Canis lupus familiaris: one gene and its partner. The protein of the gene in region 2 interacts with the protein of the main gene of each other region in a biochemical or structural test. Links are inferred from orthologs where the notes say so. Each region holds a gene or a part of one and is shown on either strand. Other genes may lie near its edges. The genes, in order: RANGRF and RAN.

Region 1 (9,865 bases), on a different chromosome or scaffold from region 2:
AGCCTGTGACTTTTCTGGAAACCTGCTATCTGAGCACTTAGTAGGAGTCCAACACTTGCACCCAGGTAAGAGCAATAGATACTTAGCATTCCCATTTACAAAAGAATCTCTGAAATGTTAAATAATTTGCCTAAGGTCATCTAGCTGGTAAGCAAATAGACACACACAGGAACTCCAAAGGGCACTCTGAGTCTAAATGTGGTGGCTGCTTCACACGCAGGCAGACAGCCTCTGCCGCCTCCTCCTCCTCCTCCTCCTGCCTCATCCTTTCTTTCTCCAAGCCTTCTTTCTCCCTCAAGCCCTTCCCGGAGTGGCTAGCTCCCCCAGCCTCTTTCACCAGTTCACCCGTGATTAACAGCTACCAGACTCACGAGCAAGGACAGGAGTCCAGAATCCCAGGCGCCCTCCCACCGCTAGCTGATAGTGGAAGGCTAAACCCGGGGATCAACCTCCCTGTCTAGCCCGGGTCCGCCCTTCTCTGGATTGCGGCGAGGATCAAGAGCTCAGGGCTGTGAGTGCGCTCCCACGCCATCCTTCGCTGCCCGCAGCCAGCCACACCCTGGCTCTGGGACCTACGGATCCGGTCGCCGGCCTTAGAGATCGGCCCGGTCCAGCAGGTGTGTCCCCTCCGCACCTGTGGGCGGAGCCCCAGCTTCCGGGCTCACCTGGCGCCAGAATCGGCGGGGAGGGGGAGGGGGGGGAGCTAGCAGATCCGCAGGCTGGCAGTCCCCGCCTGCCGCCGACCCGGACTGGAGGGAAGGGAGGGGCGCCCTCCACCTGCCCCGGGAGCGGCGCCAACACCCCACCCCACCCCACCACCATCCCCCGCCCAGTAGGGGGCTGCTGCCTCGGCTCTCGGCCTCGGCTCGCCAAGCTGTCCTCCCCGCTCGGCCCCCGGGGCGCCCCTCCCGGAGCCCCGAGTCTGGGGCGCGGGCGCCGGCGCCGGCGCGGGGAGAGTTAATTCCAACGCTCTCCACGCGGATTCCGGGGGCCGGGCCGCCGAGGGCGCCTCCCATTGGCCGCGGAGCTGGCTCGGCGCTGATTGGCTGGCGCTGCCGGCCCCCGCTCGCCTCGGCTCCCCATTGGGCGCCGCGCTCCGCTGCTGGAGTGTGGCGGCCCGGCCTCCGCAGGCTCCCCGGGCCGAGCTGCTGCGAGCTCCGGCAGCTGCCTGGGGACATCATCCCCGGCCCGGAGTTCCGACTTCCTTCACCCCCACCCCCGATCCAGACGCCACCGATCTCCTCCCGGATCCTCTTCCTCCGTAACCTGCTGGTTTTCTTTTTCCTCTCTCTCTCGGCTCCCATCGCCCCAATCCGCCTTTCCCTTCTCTGCTCCCGGGCCCGTGGCTGACCATCCCCATCATCCCACCTGCCATCCGCCTGGCTTCTGCCCCTCCTTGACCTCGGATCCCGTGACCGACGGGGCACTGCCATAACCTTCCCACCAGACTCTCCTAAACTCCTTTTCCTTCTTTCTTTGCCAGCTCCTGACTCCCAAATTCCAGCTAACCTTTGACCTCTTGACATCTGACCCTAACATTCTTCACCCCAAATCTCTCAGTTCCTGCCTCCTGCAGTCCAAACTTGCCAAGACGGAGGCCTACCCCCTGAGTTCTGACTCCATTTCTGAGGCTCATTTTTACTTTCTTACTCCTGGGTCACTTCCTGTCACTGCGACCCCACCATGGACTTCTTGATGAGCGGCCTGGCAGCCTGCGGGGCCTGTGTGTTCACCAACCCTCTGGAGGTGGTAAAGACCAGGATGCAGTTGCAGGGAGAATTGAAGGCCCCCGGCACCTACCAGCGGCACTACCGAAATGTCTTCCACGCTTTCATCACCATCGGCAGGGTGGATGGCCTGGCTGCCCTGCAGAAGGGACTGGCCCCTGCCCTCTTATACCAGTTCCTGATGAATGGCATCCGCCTGGGCACCTACAGCCTGGCTGAGGCCAGAGGCTACCTGCATACTGCCGAAGGCACCCTCAGCCCTCCGCGAAGCGCAGCAGCTGGGGCCCTGGCTGGGGTCATGGGAGCCTATTTGGGGAGCCCCATCTACATGGTGAGAGGAAGGGTCTTGCCTGGGGCCTCCAGGCAGACCCTTGGTGTAGGGTGGGGCCTGGGCCTTCACAATCTGACACTGAGATTGGAAGTGGGTTTGTGCAGGGAACAATGAAGAATCTGAGTAACATCGTCAGTGGGTGTAGGGATGAGGGAGAGTCCTGGGCACCACAGAATTATAATCCCACAGTCTCCTCCTTTGAGTTTTCTGGAATAGGTAAAGGATCAATAGCCTGAGGCCCAGAGAAGGGAAGTGACCAGCTCAAGGTCACACAGCTGCTTGCTGCTAGGACTAGGTTCTGCTTAGTGTTCCTCCTGGAAGACACTGGCGGTCAGGCAGTTCTATAAGAGAGGCAAGTCTGGTCTCACTCCTAGGATATGACATTCAGAAACAGTGACCCCTCCAAAGTCAGCCTCCACATGCCTCCTTGGGGCTTGGGAGCCAGAGAGCAAGTTTTACGGCAACCTGCCCCAGAGTTGGATGGAGGAGTCTGGTCATGGTGGTAACTAGAGATCCAGTCTGGGAATAGGAGCTGACATGAGAGGCCAGACACCCAAGTGCTGCCTAACAGGGACAGTCTTAGGAAATGTTGCCATTCTCTAACCTGTCCATCCCCCACTCAACCCCCAAGGGAAGGAAGATGTAGAGGGCGTGGGGTATCTTGCAGTGCTAGGAGATCCATCCCCTGGGACCGGAGCCAAGGGACACAGAGTCTCATGACCAACGTGTTAAGTGGGAACAACAACAATGATCAGATTAAAAGGATACTCCTTGCTGAACACCCTGGAGGAAGTGTGATAGGGTCAGGCGTTCAAGTCTTTGAGGTGGGAGGCTGACCACTGGGCCGTAGGCCATGACATTCTCTTGTCCCCAGGTAAAGACACACCTGCAGGCACAGGCAGCCTCAGAAATTGCTGTAGGACATCAGTATAAGCATCAGGTAAGTGTTTTCCAACCCTACTGGGGTCCCTGCCCATTCTTTCCCGTTCCCCCCACTTCCTGCACCACCCACCCCGCAGCTCTCTGCCTGTGCCCAACTGCTGCAAGGCAGCCATGGCTTGCCTAGCCCACCGATTCAGCACCCACCCCCTGCCCCTCCTGTGGAGTGGTGAGGAAGAGAACAGTGCGGGTGATAGAAACATTCCAAATCTAAGTCCACATGGAACTGGTTGTCCAGACACCGGGTGCCCGTTCAAGACCCCTCTTTGGCAGGGTTAGGTGGCAGCTCCCTGATGCCGGGGTGACTGAAGCCCGCCCCCGTGGTCTTCCCCCTACCAGGGCATGTTTCAGGCGCTAAGCAAGATTGGCCAGAAACATGGTCTGGTGGGGTTGTGGCGTGGGGCCCTGGGCGGCCTGCCCCGAGTTATCATCGGTTCTTCCACCCAGCTCTGCACCTTCTCATCCACCAAGGACTTCATCACTCAGTGGGAGGTACTGCCCGGCAAAAGGGATGGGGCCACACTGGGGGTGCGGGCAGTGGGAGGGCAAGCTGAATTGGGGCCCATGAATGTCGCATGGTGATGTTCGATGCGAGGGAATGGCAGGAGGACTTGAGGGTCACAGACTCTTTACGCCCTTCCCATGATCCTCTTGTCACCTCATCCCAGATGGTGCATCTGAGTGCTGGAGCATCCTGCCCTTGGGAGCTCCCTGAGTTACAGGCTCTCTACTCTATCCCCAGGGCAGGGCCCCGTTCTTTCCCAGGGGTTAAACAATTGGTTGACAAAATTCTCTTCCTCCCTCCACCCTTAGATATTTCCTCCCCAGAGCTGGAAGGTTGCTCTGGTGGCTGCCATGGTGAGTGGCATTGCAGTGGTCCTGGCCATGACACCCTTTGATGTGGCCAGTACAAGGCTCTACAACCAGCCCACAGATGCTCGGGGCAAGGTAAGGGGGTACTCTGGAGTGCCAGCAGGCAGGGAAGGCCAGGCGGTGGGTGAAAGCAAATTGTGGGTGCAGGTGGGACAGCCTAAAATGCAGCCCGCTGAGATGACGCCCCTGGTGGGCTCTGACAGACTCCTTCCCTGTGCTCTCCCTCCCTCTCAACCCGCTCTCAGGGCCTCATGTACCGGGGGATCCTGGATGCTCTGCTGCAAACTGCTCGGACAGAGGGCATTTTTGGCATGTACAAGGGTATAGGTGCCTCCTACTTCCGCCTTGGCCCCCACACCATCCTTTCCCTCTTCTTCTGGGACCAGTTACGCACCCTCTACTACACGTACACCAAATGACAACAGCCACTCTTGCACACACCACCAAATCAGCACTCCTTGGACACTTCTGCCTCCACTACTATATCCTGGTGACTTCTGACCAGGTGACCTGTCATCCACCCAAGGGGGACAGCCAACACCACTCCCCATCTGTTTTCTCAGGGTTAAATCACTACAAGGAACAGTCTGCCTCCCTTCCTTGGGTGTCACTTTAAACCTTCCCTACCCATCCTCCTGGACACGTCACACCCCCTCTCTCAGGGCAGAGCCAATCACTCCAAAGTATTCCCTCCTTTTATGTGGATGGCCTTGGGTCCCCTTCTGATCCTATGCACAAACTTTTAACCCCCCACTCCAAGACCAAAAGGAACCAGGGGGGACCCAGGTGTCTTGTTGGATTCAGCAAGGCACAGAGATATTATCTTCGTTATAAAGCAAGTTTATTTCTGCAGACAGGAGGTGTCTTATGTTTATGCACAGGGAAGGAATTAAGGGCATATATCCAACTCCTTGGTCCCCTTGCAGAACGGGGTCCCTGTGTGCTTCAGCAGCTTTACGCAGTGTTTCAGCATCTTTACTGGGGACCAAAGATGTTGGGATCGTGAAGGGTCAGACTAGTCACCAGCTGTTCAAAGTCACCCAGGCTCCAGGGCAGAAGTGACAGATTTTCAGGACCAAGAGATAACCTATTGTCAGGGCTTGGGGGTGGGGGAACAGATGGAGAAAGAACAACATCCAGGCCTCAGGTGGTGACAGTCCCACTTCCTGTTCCCAGGAGGACCCCAAGCCTCTGGCCCTCTCCCTCTTTCTTGGAGGACCCCACCAGCCAGTCTCCCCGCTCTGCCCCTCCCAGCAGATCCTCCTGGGGGACCCAGTCATGAGCCATGTGTCCTTTCTGTCCTCCTTACGGGGGCTCATTGAAGGTGACCAGGACATCAGTCTGATAGCGGGGCAGCCGCAACAAAGCCTGGTGCACCATCACGTCCTTTGCTACCTGAAGGGATCAGGGTCAAGATGCTTACCTGACCCCGCCCCCCAGGGCCCCTCCCATCACCCCTCCAGGAATCTCACACTCCCGTGCTCTCACCTGGTGGTTTTCTTTAGCTACCTGCTGCTTGCCAGAGAGGACCCAGGCTTCTTGACAGTAGCTCCGGAGAGCCAGGTTCTCCGAAAGGAGGGGCTGCACACTGTCCACTTGCAGGGCCCTAGCCTCCTGCATCCCGCCCACGTCCTCAAAGTGGTACCTAGAGGAGGGGGCGCGGGCGGGGTCAGGGAGGGACGGTGACCGGCCGCCCACTCCCTCCTGCCCAGCATCATCGAGCCCTTTAAGCTTCGCTCACTTCCCGCGATAAGGTGTTGCCCTTGGGCTGTCTCACGGCCCTGATTAACCGTCCTGCCGCAGGCCCCGCCCACCTCTTCGGCTCCGGCCCTCCCATTGGCCAGCCGCGCGGGCGGCCGCCTCCCTCACCGCGCAGCCTCCTCGCCCTGCACGTGGGCCTGCAGCTCCAGAAGTTCCACGATCAGGCTCTGGTCAGTCACGCGGTGGCAGAAAACTTCCTGATTGTCCGGGACCGGTCGCAGGTCGCTGGAGAGAGTCGAGGCAGACCCCCCCCACCGGCTGAGCCCTCGCTTCTCCCCTCATCCCACCGGACGGGTCCGCGGCGCTCGCGCCTTCTCACCTTACGTCAAGGGCCCCCGGAGGCAGAGTGGCGGAGAAGGCGCCCCCGAACAGCGGGTAGTCTCGCGTGGGCTCCATGGGCCTGGGACTGGGTGCGGGCATCAGAGAGATATAGAAGAAACTCACGTGTGGCCACGCGGCATCACCATCACCGCCGCCGCCTCCGGTCCACCTTAGCTCCCGCCCCTTTACGGGTTGGCCCCGCCCCCTCGGCCGCGCTGGCCAATTAGCGTCTGCGCCTTGGGGGGCGGTGCCCAGCGGGGCGGCTCCCGGAAGCCTGGCTCTCGCGGGGGCGGAACCTGGGGGCTGCCGCGGGCTGCAAGCGGCGAGGTCCGACCCTGGCGCCGGGGTTTGTGAGCGCCCGGTGCCCTCCAGCCCGCGCCCACAGTCTCCCTTCTTTAAAGAGGTCGCGCCTTCTGAGACTGTCGCTTGAGACCTTCCTTGGGGACCCTTGCTCGGGCAAGGGGTTGACGTCTGGGTGGGGTCTCCTGAATCGGGAGAATACCTTTGAAGGTCTTGCAGCTCCCTTCTTGGGGGGGACTTGGAGGCAGCGAGCTGCAAACCCGACCGCTAATTCCCCGGATGCGGGGATTTAGGGGAACAGTGGGGCCAGGTGTGAGGCCCTTCCTGCAGGCGAGACCCAACCCGCGGATTAGGCGTTTAATCCGTCTCAAATCTTGCCTTGAGAACTCGGTGGGGGTGGGTGGGGTGGAGAGGCTGGCCGCCCCCACACGCACCTGGAGGAAAACACGGATTAAACCCTCTGTTGTTTCTCTTTCATTGATTTTTTAGAATGTTCTCAAAAGTTTTCGCCCAGTTACATTCTCCCAGCTGATTTCTCCATTCGTGTTTAATCCCCAGCGCCTGCCAGTGTTCAGAACATAACAGGGCCATTAGGTATTGTGGGATGAATGGATAAACGCCTTACCCACGGGGTTCCAAGTGCTGCCTCTACTTACGGACCCTAATGATTTCATGGCCCTGGGGCCAGGGGACTCCTCATTTTGGGGCCCCTTACCGAAGCTGGAGATACAAAGGCAGTTAGGTCATGATCCCTGCCTCACCAAGGACTGCTGGGAACACTTTGAGTATTAAAGGTTGACCCAAAATTCACCAGGGCATCCTAGGGGTGTTTTAGGCAGAGGAATATCAGGTGCAAAGACTTGGAACTTTTGGGGTTTTTTTGTTTTAAGTTTTTTTTTTTTTATTTTATTTTTATGATAGTCACACACACAGAGAGAGAGAGAGGCAGAGACACAGGCAGAGGGAGAAGCAGGCTCCATGCACCAGAAGCCCGACGTGGGATTCGATCCCAGGTCTCCAGGATCGCGCGCTGGGCCAAAGGCAGGCGCTAAACCGCTGCGCCACCCAGGGATCCCGACTTGGAACTTTTGAAAGGGCGTATCTTGGGAGATGGAAGTGTATTGGCTTGGCCAGGGTGCAGTGAGGGACAGGTGGCAGGAGCTGGAAACAGTGACACTGGAGAGGACTTGTGCACTTTTTTTTTTTTTAAGATTTTATTTACTTATTCATGAGAGACACAGAGAGGCAGAGACACAGGCAGAGGGAGAAGCATGCTTCCTGGGGGGAGCCCGATGCGGGACTCGGGACTCGATCCCTGGACCCCGGGATCACGCCCTGAGCCCAAGGCAAATGCTCAACCACTGACTCACCCAGGTGCCCCTTGGCGGGGGGGGGGTTGAGTCCCGCGTCCGGCTCCCTGCATGGAGCCTGCTTCTGCCTCTCTCTCTCTCTCTCTCTCTCTCTCTCTCTCTGTGTGTGTGTGTCTCTGATGAATGAAGGAATAAATAAATAAAATCTTAAAAAAAAAAAAAAAGCAAGCCCCAATAAAGATTCTGGACATCAAGGCTCAAGGGAACTTCTTGGATGGCAAACACACTGATGTGTCAGGGAATGAGCTTGGAAGCTCTCCTTCCAGGACCCTTCCAGATCTTACATTTATGTGTCCTTAGAGTGAAACAGCAATCAAAAGTATAGTACTTCCCTTAGTTCGAGTTGTTTCAGTGAATTATTGAACCTCTGGGCATTTCAGGAACTGTGGGATTTATAGCCAGTTGGCCAGAGATGTGGTTACTTAGGGACTTGTAAGATTTATGGTTGGCATCTGAAATGAGTGTTGGCTGGTGGAAAACAGACTGTACCTTGAGGCATCCGATGCTTATTGCAGTTGGTGTTAGACCAGTCAGGGTGAAACAGAATAAGAAGTCGGTAATATCCCAAGTTCAGGGGGATGAGGGTCTACACTAAGCTCGTAGAGAGACAGGAGAGGAAGAGATGAAGCCAGAAAAGCAATAAGCAAGAGAAGCCATAGTCTGGGGGGTCCGCAAAGCGTAGAGGAAGCATGAAGAGAGTGTCAAAGATGGTGGCCAGGCCAAGAAGAATGGTGACGCCCGACAGAAGTAGGCAGTGAAGGGTTTGGTTGTGGACAGGGCAAAGAGGAGAGAGGGCCTCTGTTCTTGCCCCTAAGTCACAAGACTGGGTGCTTTACTGCCTCCACTTCCCAGAGGTAGAGTCCAGCCCCTCTGATCCTGCCATTCCTCCTTTTGGGTGTGGGATTGTCCAAGCCAGTGACACCGAGACAAGTGCACCAAGTGACCATACTCAGCGACATTCCTCAGGACCCTCTGCCTGGAGCTGGCAAAGGGCATGCGCCCTCCGAATGAGTGTCATGTTCTCCTAGCTTGGTTCTGGCAGCCCGCACTTTTGACCTCTCGATGGACACGGGCCCTCCTGCATTTCACATGTGTCTCTCAGCATCTGTTCCAGAAGTAGGAGGAGGAGGTGACTTGGGAGAGGTGGTACGCTGTAGCACACATCCCCCACCCTCCATCGCCTCCCCCCACCCCCCATGGCCTGGCCTGCCTCTGAGGGAGGGAGGAGGTGTGGGGAGGGGTCTCGTGGCAGCTCTTCAGAATCTGATGGATCCTCACGGGGAGGGGGAGGTACGTTACATTCTCATGGGTGAGGAGGGGTCTCCTCGGGCTACAGTCCCTGTGTCTTTAACCCCCGGGGTGGGAGTAGGGGTGGGAGGGTGGGGGAAGCCCCCTATTCCTTCCCTTGGAACCTTCTGGAAGGTATCGTTGGGAATCCATGGGGCCCCAGCCCCCAAAGTGCCACACAACTTTGTGCTTTTCATCTGCTTTAGTTAGCTAATACATCACTTCCTTGTAACCAGCCACAGGGGAAGTGTTGGGGGTGGGGGCAGGCTGCATGCACTCAGTTGGGAGAGGATCTTGGGGCCAGAAGAGTTTGCCTCGGTCAGCAGAGCTAGGACTCGGCGGTGGAGGGCTTGGGCTGGCTCCCTAGGCCCTCTGTTGCCCTGGCTTCCTTCCCAAGGGCATCCCAGGATATTCCCGCGACTCAGGTGGTGGGAAGCCAGCCACTGAGCCTCCTAATTTTACTGCCAACCCCTTAAACACGGTTGCCGGACCTCCTAGGTGACCTTCTCCGTACGTACATACACCAGGGGCTCCCAGATCATCTCCATCCCAGACCTCTCCCGCCAGCCTGCTGGATACCTCCGTTCTCGCGGCCCACTAACACCTCAGTCCCAGCGCGGCGAAGCAGAGCCCATCACCTTCCTCCCAGCCTCTGTGATCCAATCACAACTACAGAGATCAGCACCCACCTGGTGGTCCAACCAGGAAGTCTGGGCTTCACCCATGGGCTCTGCTCTGTCCTCATCCTCTCATATCCAGTTCCTGGTGATTCTGCACCCCAGCGGCTCTGGGATCCTTCCATCCCCTTCCATCTGGGCTTCCACTGCACGCCCCAGTTGAAGCCAGCATTTCCTGCCTGGAGAGTGCTGTGCCTGCTTCCTGGCACTTCATTCTGCTCTTCTCAGGTGTCCTCCGGTGTCCTTACTCCTTTCCTTTCCTATCATGACAGGTGTCCT
Region 2 (10,585 bases):
TCCCAGGGACACAGCCCCTTTCAGAGGAGTCTGGTTCCGCAGATCAGCTCAGTATGGTCCTTGGCTGCCCATCTCCCCACTGGGGCGCAGCATCACCAAGCACACGGCTCAGGATGTGTGCAATCCTCTGCCTACATCTTAAAAGGACAGCTTACCTGTAATGGTTCCTATTGTTTTTTTTTTAACTTATTCATGAGAGATGTGAAGAGAAGGAAGGCTCTTTGCGGGTGGGGGCGGGGGAGCTGAGGCAGGACTTGATCCCAGGACCCCGAGATCACGCCATAAGCCCAAGGCTGACACAACCACTGAGCCACCCAGGCGTCCCTCCTACTCTACTTCTTGAAGGCAGGCAACTGGAAGCCGACTAAATCCAAGGCTCCCCTCCTTCCACCTCCCACAGCGGAGTGGAGGCACGACCGACCCTGGATCCCCGTGTCATCATGCACACTTTCCCTAAGACCCCAAGCTGGGATACATGCAGAGGACACTGCAAACTACAAACTCCAGGGAGACCCTCCCCGCCCCCACCATTCCACCCAAACCTCCATGTTCTCCCCCTTGAAACCTCTCGAAAAATGTAATGGGAAGGACAGGGCAGAGCAAGGAGCATCCAGTGAGGGGGACAAATCAAATGCCAGCTGACCCTTCCACCATGGCCACAGGGGCAGCTGAGCCAGTGCACATTGCCATATGAGACTACAGGGGCAGGGAAACATCCGCCAGGGACACAGGACCCTGAGCATGGTCTGCAGTGCTTAGGCCCACCTTTTACTCCAACAAGGCTCCAGGTCTCAAGGTCAGGGTGGGGGCACCTGTCTCTTGTCCCTTTAGAATCAGGCACAAAGCCTGCAGCCCCAACATGGTCAATGGTGTCACACCTGCTGAGGCTGGTCCCACATGTATACCTAACCAAGCCAAACCAAAGCAACCTTCAGCCCTGTGTTCACCTCATTTCCTAAGACTAAAGTGATGTTCATAAAAAACAAATTCTCAAGTTGCACTTCTCAATCAAGAAAGTAGTTTTTTGAAGTTTAATATATTTCTGCAAACCTCTGCCCTTTCCTGACCTGCCGAGAAGATGAAGAACCCACTGTGTACACTGATGGGACCAGACACCTTGCCCTCATCTTACCAGTGCTCTGTATTAATTCTGCTTCATTGTGAGGTCACCAAACAGGACAGACGCCACCCAAAGGAACGAACTCTCCACACATGACATGAAGCAAACTGTGCTGGCTCTCACTGCTTGTGCTTGGACAGACCTGTCCTTGTCCACGTCAACAGAGCCACGGCACAGGCTCTCAATTCAACGCTCCCCCATCACATCAGATTGCAATAAATGGAGGGAGAAGCATCCCCCACATGTATAACCTGCAGAGAAACACACCCTCACACGAAGGGAATCCCTGCTAAAGATCCAGCGTTTCCCAGGGAGTACTAGAGATGATTCAGAAAATCCAGACAAAAAGAAGCAATATATTTTGCAGCAAATTTTTCTTTCAGTAAGACTTGTGAATTCTCTCCCATCCCATTTTCAACAGGTAAGTGAAGTAGCTTCCAAATTTAACAGTTACATTTCAGATTTAGTCACGTCACACACACTTGCATTCCACACAGGTCACAAACACATATGCCTCCTATTACGTATCTGAAAAAGGTTTCATCCCAATGATGGGAACGATCTTTTCAAGTCACTTAAAATCTGGTTTTGAACCTAATATAGTGTAACATTTACAGTAATTGAAGTACATCTATTGATACATTTACTCAATATTGAAATTTATTAAATTCTACCCTCTGTATTTCATTTTTCCATATATTTAAGCAACCCCTTCCTACCTTCTTTTTAGGTAAGAAAGTAACCATTTAAGGAGAAATGGACATCTAAGGAACTTTGGTAAACAACCATAGCAGTGCTCAAGTGAGCATAATAGTTTAAGACTCCTAACTGCTACAGTATAGCATCCATGGGGTCAAAACTGAAGACAGACTCCACTCGTTCTTAAATGTGTAAATCATACAAAGATAAATGGTTTGATCCAACGAAACCTTTGCAATGTTTCACGTTTCAAGAAGCCATTCTAAGATCTACTTTTCTATTTAGTGTTCGTGCCTTTGAATTGGCCACAAAAATCCTTCAGAAAAAAAAAAAAGCATCAAAGCTGTGAGATGCCCAACTTAAATCCTTACTCTTCAGCATCTTTAACACTCAGAAATACTTGAAAGCAGCGGGTAATCGTGGAACATCTTTCTAGAGTACCAGCTTCACATTAGACGTTAACATTAAAACAAAATCAAATCAATGCATAACTTACACTCATTTTTAACAAATGAGACTCCTGTCAAGTCCCCACCGTCATCTGTTATCGTTCTACCAGATTCTGAACATCCCTACATGAGAGCACGGTTACTGGTCACAAAATAATGTTAACTGTAATTCTTAAAATGCCTATCCGAAACGTCTAGTAGTTTTGTTCCAACAGGTCACAGAAGTCCAAAGCTCTTCCCCAGGTGACACCACCCAGTCTGAAGGCAGATGCGACGGGCATCGTTTTAGCTTCACCACGGATGCTCACCCCTCTAACAATCTACCAAACGGAATACTGCGGATGTCTGCCCTGTCACCTGTGTGAGAGGATCCAAATGTACAAATAGACAAGAACTTAACCTGCAAAGATTCAAATTAAGGGAGAATAGCAAAGGCCAGTTCAACAGTAACGTGGCACAACTTTTCCTGTTAGTGGTTTTAAGATGCTTACCAAACAAGGGAGGAGTTCATTGGCTTAGATATTTGAAATACAACTTTATTCTGATTCTAAACGAAAAGGAATGGGAATGACAGTGACAAACGAGATTTCACCACTGGATATTGTGATGGGACTGTAGCAGTCTCATTATCTGAAACTCAGGAAGGAAACAACTGCGTTCCAAAACAGCTAAGTATGCAGGTCCAAAAAAATGAAGGTACTGTTTAAACTGCCACATTCACTCCGAAGCCCATTCATCTCCTTCAGCATCCCAAAGATTAAGCACATGTTCTGCTCAGCTATATAATAAAAGTGGCAAACACGCTGCACCACTGACATCACAGGACAGTTGCCTATAAAACTAGACTTCTGACGCTGGCCTCCAGCTGCACTTCTCACAGGTCATCATCCTCATCCGGGAGCGCGGTCGTCTGAGCAACCTGGACAGAGACACAACGTCAGGACACCATGGGTTAGAGCCGTCAGGACACGGGACACCCAAGAGATCCCACTGACGGACCCATCTGCCACCTACCTCTAGATCGTGCTCGTACTGTGCTGCCAGAGCTGGATCCATGACCACCTCTGGGGGGGCAAGAGCAGGCATGGCGACAAACTCCAGGTTAGGGTCTCCAATTAGTTTTCTAGCAAGCCACAGGAACGGCTTCTCAAAATTGTAGTTACTTTTGGCAGAAATGTCATAGTACTGTTCCATAAAATAAAATAAGTTTTTAAAAATCTACTTCTTGAGGATCATTGAAATGTTTAAAACTAAAAATAGTTTTTCCATCCATACCACAGACACAATTTCCTTTAGTGGATCTATTACCGTAGTTTCATCTTAGAGAAAAACAATTAAGTTTTAAAAAACATACCTGAAGGTTCTTCTTTCGGTGGAAGACGATAGATTTTGCCTTAACTTTTCTGTCCTTAATATCCACTTTATTGCCACAGAGCACAATGGGGATGTTCTCACACACTCGTACCAGATCTCTATGCCAGTTAGGCACATTCTTGTAAGTAACCCTTGACGTTACGTCAAACATTATAATGGCACACTGGGCTGAAACAGATGTAGGAAAACTGTTACACATGTATGACTTCTTGCACAAATGAGGAATGCTAAGGAGCACGGGCTAGGGGACAGGCCCAATCTGGCTACCTCTGCTTCTGCACTCACTACACCCCAATGTCTCTCTCTTCCAAGTTTAAGGATCTCCAACCACTGTAATACGTAACAAGATTTAAAGTTTCATTTTCTGTGTGAGTGTGAACTACCAGCCTAGCTTATCAAATCTCTCCCGTAATACTTCATTAATTCCGTCCCATCCCAGAATCTCAAGTAGACTACCGATAGAGCAGCACCCTAAGACAACTGGTCTCCTCTATTCTGAGGATCTCAGAACCTGCTCTTTAAATGATCCTAAACTACACAAAAGAGTATGTTATTCTGCCTTAAAACACGCAGGCCTACATACTGACCTATGAGGAACACAATTCTAATATAATTGAGACAACAAACCGAAGTATGTACAGTCTAGGAGTTTCCTAATTAAACACTTTTTAAGAAGAGAAAAAAAAAGCTGTGTATCTGTAACATAGCAAAGGATGCAAAATATGGAAGGACTCCCAATCATCTTTCATCACAAGAGATCCCAGATGACATTTTCTTCCTGTCTTTATCTGCCACTCTACAGTGCCCTTGAGGGAAAAAAACAAGCAAAAAAACCCCCAACCAGCCCCAACGACTCCGGCAGCCACAGCAGCACCTCGTGGGATGCTCATTGTCTTAGGTGAGGAGCCCGCTCCGGGTCCCGGCTCCAGGCTCCAGGCTCGGCGCTGCGCCCATCATGACACAGCACGCGGCAGCCGCCGGCCCGCCCTCACCCACCTTGGATGTAGTAGCCGTCCCGGAGCCCGCCGAACTTCTCCTGGCCGGCGGTGTCCCACACGTTGAACTTGATGGGGCCCCTGTTGGTGTGGAACACGAGGGGGTGGACCTCCACGCCCAGAGTGGCTGCAACACAAGCACGGCCGTCAGGTCCGCTCGCGCCCCGCTCCCGGGGGCCCCCGCGGCTCCCCCCACGTACCTACATACTTCTTCTCGAATTCACCCGTCAGGTGACGCTTCACGAACGTGGTCTTGCCGGTGCCGCCGTCGCCAACCAGCACCAGCTACGAGACAGGACGCGGTCGCGGGGGGCGGGGGGGGGGAGGGGAGGCCCCGGCGCCCCCCGGGCCGCGCCGCCCCGCTCCCCCCGGCCGCCCCCGCGCACCACCCACCTTGAACTGGACTTGGGGCTCTCCCTGGGCAGCCATAGCGCTGGTGCTGCGGGGAGACAGACGTGGGACGGCTGGCGGCGGGGCCCGGGCCCACATGGCCGGCCCGCCCCACGTGCCCGGGCCCACAAAGGGGCTCCGGCGGCCGGGCCCCACGCGCGCACGCCCGGGCCGGGGCGGGGGCCGCGGCGCGCTCCCGGCGGCGGGCGGGCGGGCGAGCGGCGCTGCTCCGGCGGCGGGTCTGGCGGCGCGCCCGTGGGGGAGGGAGGCCGGGAGGCCGGGGCGGAGGCCGGCGCGCGGGGCGGAGGCCGGGGCCGCCCGGGGCCCCGATCGCGCGCCCCCCGGCCCGCGCCGCCCCGGGGCCGCCGCCCGCCCGGGCCCACCGCGACTGGCGTCCCGGCCACGGTCTTCGGTCTCTACGGCAGGGGACGGCGAGAGCCCGCCGCCGCCGCCGCCGCCGCCCCGGCCCGCACGACTGCCGCCCGGCCCCGGCCCCGGCCCTCGCCCGGCCCTCGCCCGGCCCCCGCCCGGCCCCCGACCCCCCGGCCCCCCGGCCCCCCGGCCCCTGGCCCCCGCGGCCCCCGCGGCCCCCGGCCCGGCCCCGCTGCCTTACCTTCCAGAAGCGTCTCCGGCCCGTCTGACTGAGGGCTGGAAGATGGCGGAAGCGCAATTCAAATGCCCGGAGACGCAGCCGACGCCGGCGCGCGCCGGGGGGGGCGGGGCAACGGCGCCGCGTCGCTCCCACGTGGCCCGGCGTGCGCGCGCACGCACGCCGCGGGCTCGGCCGGCCACACCCGTCGGCCGGGCGCGGAGGGGAGAGTCGCGGCGGGGCGGCAGTCGCGCTCGGCGCGGGCGCGCGGACGCACGCCGGCTCGCGGGGCCACGTGCGCCGGCCCAAGGGCGGGTTCCAGCGCGCGCATGCGCCGACGCCGACGCGGCGCGCCCAGCTGCGGCCGCGCCACGACACTGGGAGGAGAGCGCAGGCCTCTTGGGCGGGAAAGTCGCGGGGAGCGGCCGACACAAAGCCCCGGGCCTCCGGGCGTGGGGCCTCGCCGTGGGCGCGCGGGACGGTGCGCCGCGGGGGAAGCGGGCGCGTGCGGAGGCCTTGGGCCCTGCCCCTGTGGCCCTGCCCCTGTGGGCTCTCGCGGCACCCCGGGCGCTCCGACCCGCACCCTCTCCCGGAGCCGCCCGTCCATCTGCCACCTGCCTCCCCCGGGCCTCCATCACCCTCTCGGCCGCTTCCTGCGCCCCCGGCCCGGCCCGGCCCCGGCCCTTCCTCCCAGACCCCGGTCCGCAGAGCCTGCCCTGGGCCCCCGCCGCACCCCCTCCTCTCACCTGGACCCCGCGGGCCCCTGCCTTGTGTTTCAGGCCCCCCCACCGCCCACACCCGGTGTCCCTGGCTCCAGCCAAAACCTTACTTGGGGGTAAAGGGTGCAAAATCGATGCTTTTTCTCACCCTAAAAGGCAGCCACCCTTTTGTTAAAGCATTTCCTTGGTCAGCAGCCTTTGTGACTGTATCCTGCGCACAGGATGACGAAATCGTGTTTTCAAACCTGGCGGCTCGCATCCCAGTTACAAATTTGGATGCAATCGATGAGTATGTAGGTTCCAGACTGTGGAGACAATAAAGCTGGCAAGAATGCAGACGAGATCCATGCACTCAGAAGTCACATGCTGCTGGGGATGCCCACCTCGTAGGGCCGGTGTAGGCAGAAAGTAAGATGAGCCACAAGCTCAGCAAGTGTTGACAGTTAACTACTATTCATTCTCAGCAAGGAAGTGGGCCAAGTGGAGTCCTCTAACCTCTTACCCTAAATCTAGGGCCAGTTTTTGGCATTTGTGTGGACAGCCACAGATTCTCCATAACCCAGATCCTCTCGGCCCCCTCTGCAAGCAAACATCCGCACTCGCGGCAAGAGTAGTACCGCTGGTGGCCCCATCAGAGTAGTCTGGTTGCTCAGGAAGGATTCCACCGTGGGGACTCTTCCCAGAGCGCAGAGAACCCAGATGACGGAGGAGGAGTTAGCCACTTAGTCTTCAGTGCCCTTTGCAAGCAAACCTATTGGGAACACAAGTGATGCAAATTGGGCACAACACTTGGGCGAATCTGCCTGCTGGGAACTCCAATCCCACTGCTCTCCAGGACCCTCAGGAAAACACCAAACAGATCTCTATGCTGCTTGGGTGTGACCATTGCTTTGGCCTCTCTGGAAAGCAGGAACTGATAAAACATGAGTGCCGAGAGCTGGCGACCCTGTAACTTCCACTTCTAGAGAGATTCTCTGGAGTTAAACTCACACATATGCACAGGGAGACAGTATCTCAAGCGTTCGCTACAACATTATGGCAACAAAAAATGCAGCTTCCAGAGATACCCATTGGTAGGGAAACTACAAATATTTAACTATTACAGTATGCCATCTGAAAGGAAGCAAGTTCATCTGTATCAACAGGGTTAGATCTCAAAGGATAATGTTGAGAAAGAAGGAAGTTCAAGAAAGATGTGATAATGGTCTTAAATAGTCCACAGTATATGTAGTTTTATAGAGAGATTGTACGGTACAATACCATTTATGTACACTTTTATACATATTAGTTCTTGAATGTTATGTAGGTAATTTTTTTAATTGATTACAACAATATACACGGAATCATGAAGCTGTTGTTTCGAGAGACAGTAGGAAGGGGTATGATGGGGCGAGCAGAACAGTCACAGAAGATTCCCTCTCTTCTGTTAAAAGAAGGTAATTGAAGCAAACAGGACAACATATTAACCACCGTGTAGCTCCAGGTGGTGAGAACACCGGTGCTCCCACCTTCTGGCATTTTTTTTTTAATTTTTTTTTATTTATTTATGATAGTCACAGAGAGAGAGAGAGCGCGGCAGAGACACAGGCAGAGGGAGAAGCAGGCTCCATGCACCGGGAGCCCGATGTGGGATTCGATCCCGGGTCTCCAGGATCGCGCCCTGGGCCAAAGGCAGGCGCCAAACCGCTGCGCCACCCAGGGATCCCACCTTCTGGCATTTTTGAAAAATATTTCTTCCCACCAAAAAAAAAATCCAAGAGGAAATCTGTCAAATATGGATATTAGTTGTTCTCCATGCTTAGCATTCTAAACGGAGCTCCTGGTGGTTTAGTTTGTTCATTAGCTGCAGATGTCATTAACTGGCCCTGTCCCAGAACTTCTGAAGATGATCATCTCAGAGAGCACATGAAAAAAATGGGAACACATACTCTGGCTGACATAGATAATGAGTTTCCCCAGTAAAACTCCCCGAGCCCATCCTTTTTTTTTTTTTTTTATAAGTTTTTTTTTTATTTATTCATGAGAGACACAGAGAGGTAGAGACACAGGCAGAGGGAGAAGCAGGCTCCCTGCAGGGAAGCCCGATGTGGGATTCAATCCTAGGACTCTGGAATTGTATGACCTGAGCCGAAGGCAGATGCTCAAACACTGAGCCACCCAGGTGCCTCTCCCTCAGCCCTTCCAAATGCTAATGACTTTGCAGTCCACAGGGGGTACTTCTGGTCTCTGCCGCACAACATGGATTGCAACTCCGTGCTTACCCGGTAATTTCAAACTTTGCAGCCAAATGCACTGAGAGGAAACAGAATTATAAAAACCCAGGGATTTCAGCTGTTACCTGTAATTTCCTCAAACATCAGCATTCCTCATTGGCCTTAGTCCTCCTCTCCTTCTTTCTCTCAGTAACAATCTCATTACATATATGATTTTAAAATATATATAGGATTTTTTACCTCTGGGATGTTTGAGAATATGCAGCATGCAGGATGCTCTTCTGTGTGTATTTCTTAAAACCAAGGACATTTTGTTACGTAACCACAGTTCCGTTACCCAAAGCAGGAAACAAAGCCATCTGCAATTGGATCGCCTCCTCTACAGACCAGAGTGCCAGTGGTCTCACTGCTGCCCTAGAGCTGGTTTGAGATTATTTGGGATTACATGTGACCCTCAGCTATTCACTCTGTGTCTTTTCCTTCAGTCCAGAGCAGTCACTTCGACTTTTATGCTTCTGCAGCATATTTTGTAGTCCAGGTCTTCTGTGGAATACCCTCCGTTTGGATGTGTCTGATATTTCCAATGGTTGGGATTTGAGTTCTGCAGTTTGGGCTGGGATACCCGAGAGATGGTTATGTCCTTCTCAGTGCATCTTTTCAGGAGCACAAAGTGACCTTCGTAGAACATTTCAGACCCCCCTCCTGCCCTTTAATGGCTCGCTTCAGATACATGAAATCCATGACTGGCCAGACCCGAGGTAAGCTAAGATGGGCCTACTTTTCCATCCTCTGCTCTAGCTTTTTTTTCCCTGTAACTCTTCTGTAGCCATGCAAACCTTTCTGAACGTTACCTCCCCCAAGTTTGTCCCTGCCTTAGGGCCTTTGCACTTACTGGTCCCTCTGCTCTTTTTCTACATCCTTGCCTGACTGGTTCCTTCTCACCCTTCAGGTCACAGCTCAAATGTCACCTCCTCAGGGAAGCCCACTCTGACTGCCCTCTTGAAAACGGTGTCACCATACCAGCCATTTTCCATCTCAGCCCTCACTTGATTTTCTCCCAAGCACTTACTCCTACCTGAAAATAGCTTGCTTAATAATTTACATGCATACCATTCTGTCTTTCTTTCCCTCACTAGAATAAACAAAGCACCTTGCTTGGCACAATCCTCAAGGTATCTAGCACAGTGCCTGGCTCATAATGGGTGCTCAGTAAATATGTGTTGAATTATTGAGTGAACTACTCTTAACCCCATCTTAACACAAAAAATCAGAAATAGCCCCAATAATGCTAATAAAATAGTAATAACTTACATATACAAGCTTATCAGAATTTCAATATGCTATTTCTTGTCAAAGACTAATCATTGAGGAAATAACAAACATTTAACAAATACAGAGTCAACCTTTCCTATTTGTGCAGTTTCCATCAACTTCCTTGACTTTGCAAACCAATAAGGGAAGATCCCATTATCTACTTCACTCATCACTCCAGCTGGATATCAATGACTTGTCAAATGAAATGTTTTCCTTACTGGACACTCACTTTTCTATATAGGGAGCACACTGGTGCATAGATTACATGCTACTTCTTAGCATTAGTGCAGAAATTATTTCCCCTGACAGCAAAATCGAGAGCCTTGTCATATACTCATGCCAGATATCCATCCAATCAATGACCAGGGCAGCGTAGGGGGTACACTTTGGTGGCCCATGAGCTAAATCCTGCCTTCAGTATTCTTTGTCCTATCCTGGGGTGGATCACAACATAATTTGTATCTAAATGTGTTGCTAGCACTTAACAACGTGATGGTTTGGGGGAGATCCCTGGGTGGCTCTGCGGTTTGGCGCCTGCCTTCGGCCCAGGTGTAATCCTGGAGTCCCAGGATGGAGTCTCGCGTCGAGCTCCTTTCATGGAGCCTGCTTCTCCCTCTGCCTCTCTCTCTGTGTCTCTCATGAATAAATAAATAAAATCTTAAAAAAACAAACAATGTGACAGTTTTTAAAGTGATCCCACAGATTCTTTGAAACTTCTCTCTT

The links.
Region 1: the proteins of RAN (region 2) and RANGRF form a complex in vitro, tested with the Homo sapiens proteins (2 studies listed by BioGRID). The link is inferred for Canis lupus familiaris from reciprocal best matches to the Homo sapiens genes RAN and RANGRF.

The regions. Positions count from the first base shown.
Region 1 is NC_049226.1:33,285,952-33,295,816, reverse strand, and holds RANGRF (ran guanine nucleotide release factor), read right to left. Parts: upstream 6,148-9,865; 5' UTR 6,052-6,147; coding exon 5,951-6,051; intron 5,857-5,950; coding exon 5,740-5,856; intron 5,516-5,739; coding exon 5,359-5,515; intron 5,266-5,358; coding exon 5,180-5,265; intron 4,970-5,179; coding exon 4,846-4,969; 3' UTR 4,695-4,845; downstream 1-4,694. Other genes in the region: SLC25A35 (solute carrier family 25 member 35), read left to right, coding at 1,684-2,058, 2,933-2,998, 3,337-3,489, 3,811-3,945, 9,859-9,865. UniProt on the Homo sapiens protein: May regulate the intracellular trafficking of RAN. Promotes guanine nucleotide release from RAN and inhibits binding of new GTP by preventing the binding of the RAN guanine nucleotide exchange factor RCC1.
Region 2 is NC_049247.1:1,618,354-1,628,938, forward strand, and holds RAN (GTP-binding nuclear protein Ran), read right to left. Parts: upstream 5,079-10,585; 5' UTR 5,067-5,078; coding exon 5,031-5,066; intron 4,923-5,030; coding exon 4,838-4,922; intron 4,765-4,837; coding exon 4,639-4,764; intron 3,811-4,638; coding exon 3,623-3,810; intron 3,454-3,622; coding exon 3,283-3,453; intron 3,188-3,282; coding exon 3,143-3,187; 3' UTR 3,129-3,142; downstream 1-3,128. UniProt on the Homo sapiens protein: GTPase involved in nucleocytoplasmic transport, participating both to the import and the export from the nucleus of proteins and RNAs. Switches between a cytoplasmic GDP- and a nuclear GTP-bound state by nucleotide exchange and GTP hydrolysis.